Daphnia pulex: one gene and its partner. The protein of the gene in region 1 purifies or fractionates together with the protein of each later gene. This does not show direct contact. Links are inferred from orthologs where the notes say so. Each region holds a gene or a part of one and is shown in the gene's direction. Other genes may lie near its edges.

Region 1 (3,906 bases):
AAAACCAAAATAAAAATTGTCAATGAGAAAACGAGTTTGTACAAGAAAACGAGTTAGAATTGAAAATGATACACACCTCTACATTTTTCTTCACAGCATGAGACAGGTTGACGCACAACCTATCAGAAGAGACATGTATAAGAACTGGGATGGACAACACTATTTTTAAATTAAAATGCACTTCAGAGAATGTAGGTAAGGATGAATTAAGTAATACATCATTCCACCTCAGATTGGGTAAGTTGTTTCATCACTCATTTATTTCTTTCCAGAATGAAAGTTAAGTTACCATGGCAAATCTCCAGAGCTTGTTTCATGAAGTTACATCTCCCACAACTGAATCATCTAAATAAAAATGCTTAGATTAGTTGGATGGGAAAAAAAAGATGGAAGTGAAGACAGTATTTAAAAAATCAGATGAGTTAAGTTTGGAATCAATAAAATGACCTTGTCAAATTCATACGAACGAGACTCGAGAGATCATCATCTAGCAGGATTGTAAAAACCCAGAAAATTACTTACCACGTTTAGGAAGCATGGCGGTGATATAATAGGAAACAATGTGAATCACGTAGAAATCAAGCATACTTAAATATGATAAATAAAACTTGCGCACCCTTCAATTAACTTAACGAAATTAACAGAATGTAACATTTAACAAGTCTCAAAAACAATTTTAACTTTAGATGCAGTAGACCTTGATTGTCTCATTGCCGATGTTCAAGTGATTTCAAACGTGGTTGTCACTTCATTCATTGAGTATGACGAATTCCCTCTACCGGTGAGTTTCCCATCCTTCGGAAAATTGAATGTGCCAGATTTATAATTTTCATATTGAAATAGACTAATATTTTTTATATACTGTATTTTGGGACTTTAACTTCAACACAATATTTTCAAAATTATAAAAAGACACTAGAATGAAATATGAATTCTAATTTATCATTATTTACATCTCAACTCGAGTGTGAATGAAAAATGGCAACGCGAACAACCGCGCGAGAAAAAGAAAAACATTTAAAAAAAAAATAAAGGTGAATTATATTTGCTTCCCATTGAATCTGGAAAGTAATCTTTCAAGTAATCTGGAAAACGCAAAAAGAAAAGGTAGCTTCAAAGTTGAGTAAAAAAGGCAATAACTCATGCAACTTTTTACAGGTGCAATACAGACACAAGTTTTGAAAAGTTAAACTGTTGTCTTAACTGACAAGCCTGCGACAACTTGAGCAGTACAAGAATAATAAACAACACCTAATGCCAGATAAGGAATACAGACTCAATATGTGACTTTTTACATTTATTACGACGGTGATAGTAAATCAATCGGAGACTTGATTTGTAGTTTTAGCATTCTTAAATCTTGTCTGTTACATTGTCGAGGTCATTTGAATTCATCATTTCCGCTGAACATAAGTCCCTATTTGTGTGTAATGTGTTATGTCAACTCGACGATCGACGTCTTTGGAGCGCTCTTTGTTATTATAACGAGCTTGTTGCCAACAAAAAAAGAATAGGAGATGAATTCGTTGTACTATTTCAATTACCATGACAAATAAATAAATAATCAGTCAAATATAATCGTCTCCACATTTAACCCGATCTAATTTACGGCATGCAATATTGGCTTTCTAGTTTATGAATAGCAGTAAATCAAGTAAAAATTCATAAGGTTTACTTTGTAGACCTCAAAACTTGTCGGACGACGACTCGAAAAGAAAAAGTCGTTACCGCGTTTTATAAAAAGAATCCGGCAACGCAGCGATCGTTCACTTTTCTTTGCAGACAAGAACTTCGTCCATTTTGCTCGACTAAAAATCTCTCGAAAACTTCGTGAGCTCGGCCTAAAAATGTTTAGTTTTGTTGCTCGTTCGGCAAATTTATCTTCCGTAACTGTTGCTGCCACACAATCGGTAGCAAATGGCTCGAAAGCTCTGTCTCCGGCCGTTACCATCAACATTGAACGAGTTCTAGTTCCACCACCAGCCCAAAAACTAACGACCAACTCTTTAACGGCTGGTTTGCCGATTAATCCGATAAGGGCATCAGTTTCAATTGGAGGTAATATTTTTTTCTTCTTGTATAAAACTGTTTCTAGATAATTTGGGCCAAGACAAAAAATTTTGTTTCATCAGAAAATGGTGGCCTTTAATTTCGATGTTGAATGTCGACACTCTTACATTTTCAAGCTACAATTGCATTTTTTTTTTTGTTTCTCCTTTTAGGTCCTAGCCAGGTGCGATTTGCTCACACTGATGTCTCAGTCCCAGATTTCTCTGCCTACAGACGCAGCAATCTTAAAGACAGCAGTGCTGATAACAAATCAAGCGCACCTAGCCGACAAGGATTCTCGTATCTGATTGTTGGCAGTGGAGCAGTTGGTGGTGCTTATGCTGCCAAGACTGTTGTTGGTGAATTTGTGGGCTCCATGAGTGCTTCAGCTGATGTTTTGGCTTTGGCTAAAATTGAAGTTAAACTGAACGACATCCCTGAGGGTAAGAACGTTACCTTCAAATGGCGTGGAAAGCCCCTTTTCATTAGGCATCGCACTGCGGTATGTATTGATTATGATTGTGACTCGTAAATAACTCTTGCTGATCGACAATTGTTCCCCCATTATTTTAGGAGGAAATCGACACGGAAAGCAAAGTTGATATGTCTACACTGCGTGATCCACAACTTGATTCCGACCGTGCCCAGCGTCCCGAATGGCTGGTTTTGCTCGGAGTGTGCACCCATCTGGGTTGTGTCCCAATCGCAAATTCGGGTACGTTTTCAATAATATTTCAACGTAAAAAAAAGCTTTTAACGAGTTCTCTTTTTGACAGGCGAATTTGGAGGTTATTATTGCCCATGCCACGGTTCTCACTACGATGCTTCTGGCCGAATCCGCAAAGGCCCAGCTCCTTTGAACTTGGAAATCCCAATTCACACTTTTGTGGATGAAAACACCCTAGTTGTTGGTTAATTTCGTTCAAAGACGGTCACTACTCGTGAACATCTTTCTAGGAAAATCAACCCAAAATTAGCGTCTATCCCCCTCTTGCTTTGTACAGATACAATAAATACACGATCCTGTAGCTGAGAGAGGGAAGGACTCAGTAAATGTACCATAACACTTTCTTTAATTATTATAGGCAAAGCGCTGATTCTTTGGCATGTTTTGCTTTTGATCCGGAATCTTTCAGTTTGTTACCAGAATGCTGCAAGTAAATTCATTTTAGATCCTACGGCCTCAGAGTAAAAGCAATTATCTAGTCAAATGAATGGCAATCACTAACGAAATCGGGAACGTGTATAGGGAGGTCTTAAGAAATGGCTTTTGGACTCACGAGGTAGCGTGCAAGTCGCTGGCTGGGATCATTGTGAACGCACATTCAAGTTGCCGAGACGGACGCACAAGAAAAGGGGCGGGGGGCGAAGGGAACTTATATCTCTGCGAACCATTCTCCTCGTTTCTATTCAAGTGACTCGATGGTAGTACTTATCGACCCGGAAATTTCAATCGAATCGTCGCCTGGGGAGTCCTAATCTATTGTGCGAAATCAAAAACGGAAGGCAAACGAGTGTACAGTCGTCCTTTTCTCAAGACGATTTCCAGTCACAGAAGTAGAAAGAGATGAAGGGGAGTAGACAAATTAAACTTTGAACGCATTCGTAAAGGTTGAGCAACATTTGAATCAGCATTTAACGTCAACTTACTCAGATCATTTGTACGAAGTTTCCCTTGGTTCGTTCATTGTTGGTGACGTACACGATAAATGAGGAGTTGAATAGTTATTTCTGGTTTGACATGTAAGAATGAAAATACACTTGTCTCATTTAAATACGAAATAAAGAAGTCGTCAAAAATGGTTTTGTTGGTTTGTTTGTTTGTTTTTGTCTCTTTTCTTAGTAGGTTGAACACAG
Region 2 (3,527 bases), about 860 kb from region 1:
AATCGATTCACGTCAGCCATGCAATGCGCCCCCCATGCTCCCACCGTGGACTATAATGGGAGAAATGCATTCTTGTGGACAACACGTCTTCAATGACGTCGTTCGGATGCAAGACAGGGAAATGGAAAGGGAAACTGCTGTTTTGTGATGGGTTGTAAAACGGCGAAATGCATGGCATACAATGCGTCTAACCTTTTAATTGGAATTCCTACAACGTCACCGTGAAAAGATAGCGTGTTATAAGAAGGAGATTGGAATGGATATAGGACCAAATAACTGCTGCTGCTGCTGCCATCCCAACCGGAATGAGAGCACACACACAAAGTCGTTGGGCCAATTCCGAATGTTGATGGACACTGGTGGTGTTCAACGTAACGTAAAACCGCCATCGACAATTTGGGGTACCTCGTCTCGTAACTCGGGAGGGGATTCGGTTCGTGGTATCATTCCACTCGACTGACACAAAACAAAACAACGCCAACAAGAGAAAGAAAAGCCAAAATTAGAGGGGTAACGTGTCTTTCTTTTTCCGGTTTTGTCTTTCCTGTCTCTTTCCGCTTTCAAGGGGGGAGGATTTTGTTTTTGTGCGATCACTACTTCTATTGAAATAAAAAGATACTAATAGCCGTCTGCTGCTACTGATGTGTGTGTGTGTGTACATACTAACAGTAGCATGGCTCGTCATCCGGTGTGGACTTTGAGTCACGGCCTCCACTCATCAGAATGGACGCCAGCATTGAAAGGAAGGCGAGTTAAAACTTGCACAACAATAATGTGGCCAACAGTCATTTCCTGTTTCCAGGTGGAGGCAATACACATCATCATCATCATCACGTCTAAGAGAGAGAGAGAAAAGGGTTACACATCAAAAGAAATCCGTCGTATCTTCCTAGAATCTAAAAGTATATGTGTGTGCGAGTATGAACGAGTCTACTTGTGAAAAATAACACTGACTGCAGTGTCACTACAACTTCTGGTTAGTTTCTTTTTTTTGGGAAATTTGCGTACAAGCCATGAACCGGTACGAGAGAGAGAGAACCGAGCCGTGATAAATGATAATAAACCGGGAAATGGTAGAGAGAGATACAGTCCGTTGAACTTGAAGCTGAAACACGCATTTATAATGACGTTGGAAAAAAGTCTACTCGAATGTATGAGGTAGTACTTAATGTTTCATGACTTTCCAAGAAAAAGGAACAAAGGGTCGTCCCCCTACCGTCAAACCACTTGCGCGACGATTGCTACACTTTTTCTAGCGACAAAGAAAACACCCCAAACGTCAAGAAATTCAGATTTATAAGTCACGGGAGGGAGGAATACTGGTTTTCTCAAACGGTTGCACATTTTCATGGCCTCTGGACGAGGTGAATAACATCAGAAGAAGAAGCCGATGATGGGGCAATCACAAAAAACAGATGACTCACCGGCCGAAGTGGCGAAATGTGTGGTGACCAGATGAATGCATACTAGTAACAGCAGAAAACGCATGATTATCTTCACTGGTCTGCTCAAACAATCCAAAACCAGCAGAAGATTAGAAACAACACTATAATATATTTATATTTTTTGAAAAAAAAAAAAAAAAAGATGAGTTGAGCTAGAGAAGCGAGTACAGCTGACTGGGTATCGAACCACAGTTAAACGGCACCACTTTCGGGAGAATCACTTGAGGTAAAGTCATAATTCACTTGTGTTATGTCTTTCGCAATCAAGGGACGCTTTAAATTCCACCACCAATAACACCACAAGTCCGAATACAACCCAACACTCCGTTCTAATCCTTCGTTACTCCATTACTAACTAAAACGCTTGTCTTTTGTTCGGCCCTATCCCTCTCTGTTCTCTCGTTGAAGGCTGGGCCAATACACCCAAAACGTTGCCAAATTCATCAAAACTTTAAAGGAGCTATTAAATTTATACTAAATTTAAAAAAATGTGGAATAAATTATTAAATAAACATTGAGGAATGTGAAAGACACCATTAAAAACACATTTAGATGTAATTCAAAAAATGTTGTGGTTCTGTTTTGATTCTACAACGCTGTTTGTCAAAACAGAAAATGGCCGCCCCCCTTAGAGCAGAGGTAAATAAAGAAACTTTCAGATGTTATTTTTGTCCTTGTATTTATTGATTTCCAACTTATTTATTGGTTTCCTTTATTTTGTGCCTCGTATAGGTTCTAAAATGTTTTCGGTGTCTACATCGAACTCGTACCAAAGTGTTTACCAATGATCAAGTCGCCATGGATGGTAGGAATTTCTTTCGAAATATGACAAATAATAAGAAATGTAGTCATATATCAGGTTAATTGATGAATTTTAATTATTTACATTATAGCCGCTCGCCTGAAAATCAATTCTGAATTCCGAAAATATCAGAGAATATCAAGTCAAGAAGCAATAGCAGAAGTAAGTTGATCATTCTCGTTTCGTGCCGACATTCCAAGTGATACCCTGTTATTTTTTTGGCAGTTAATCAAGCTTGGAAACCAAGCAGAGGAAATTCTACGGACAAGTGTTGTGCAGGTCACCCCCACCGAAGAAAACACTTTCAGTAATTTATACCTTGAGATTGTGATCTTCATTCTTTATCTAATTGCCTTTTATTATTCTTTATGTGTGGCAGGACTCCATATAACAAAGGACACCTTTATGCACAACAACACGCCATATAGGGGATGATTTAGAATGTATGTTAGTGTATATGATTGTGAAAAATAGAGAGACTGTAACATTTCAACAGACATACAGTTTATTTTATTGAACATGTAAGTACAGTTTTCAAGTACCACAAAGCACAATTCATAGGCTGCCATTTGGGCCAGTCCACATGCAAAAAATCTTGCTGTTCAAGAGAATATATATATATGATGATGTTCACATCATTATACAACTGTCATGGTACCAAGGCGCTCCGATATGGCACTGCAGCAAAATCATTAAGCTGTCAAGGCACCGGAGATATGATTGATGGAGCAAACAAACTAATTCGAAAAAGGCAGTATCACAACAAATATTATTCGAACAGGCACGAGAAACAAGGACACGCAAAGGCACACATATACACATCTCCCCTCCCACAAAAACACCTCCCAAACCCAAAAAAGGGGGAAGTAACAGCTGCAAAAGTAAGGCAGAGACACAAACCACACACACACACAGTATATACGAAATAACGGCCAAAATTGTTTTTTCTTCCCCTTTTGGCACTCGGCGCACGTCATTGAGTCTCCACGGAACACAATTTAATGTACAAGAATATTCAAATTATTATTAAGACACGTAGGCAGCACTGAACAAATAAGAAATAATAATTAAAAAAACAAAAACAAAGAGTAATTGAGGCGAGATCTTCACACGCAGTCTTGTTCCATCGGAGCCCAGCCAAAAGAGACGAATTTGTCGGCTCTGATTGGCGTGCGGTTTGCCCAGCTTATTGCACTAGAACTCACTCAACGAGAAAGAAGAAGAAGCAGAGTACGCAACAGTTGCTATACTACTGAATCATTTGCAAGAAACGGTTCTCC

The links.
Region 2: the proteins of cytochrome b-c1 complex subunit Rieske, mitochondrial-like (region 1) and complex III assembly factor LYRM7-like purify together in Homo sapiens (co-immunoprecipitation; 5 studies listed by BioGRID and IntAct, with this or other methods). This does not show direct contact. The link is inferred for Daphnia pulex from reciprocal best matches to the Homo sapiens genes UQCRFS1 and LYRM7.

The regions. Positions count from the first base shown.
Region 1 is NC_060017.1:6,019,883-6,023,788, reverse strand, and holds cytochrome b-c1 complex subunit Rieske, mitochondrial-like, read left to right. Parts: upstream 1-1,685; 5' UTR 1,686-1,847; coding exon 1,848-2,058; intron 2,059-2,222; coding exon 2,223-2,551; intron 2,552-2,622; coding exon 2,623-2,764; intron 2,765-2,825; coding exon 2,826-2,965; 3' UTR 2,966-3,107; downstream 3,108-3,906.
Region 2 is NC_060017.1:6,879,477-6,883,003, reverse strand, and holds complex III assembly factor LYRM7-like, read left to right. Parts: upstream 1-1,985; 5' UTR 1,986-2,060; coding exon 2,061-2,084; intron 2,085-2,177; coding exon 2,178-2,250; intron 2,251-2,338; coding exon 2,339-2,409; intron 2,410-2,472; coding exon 2,473-2,554; intron 2,555-2,626; coding exon 2,627-2,682; 3' UTR 2,683-2,740; downstream 2,741-3,527. Other genes in the region: disintegrin and metalloproteinase domain-containing protein 10-like, read right to left, coding at 1,425-1,488; zinc finger protein GLI2-like, read right to left, coding at 3,497-3,527.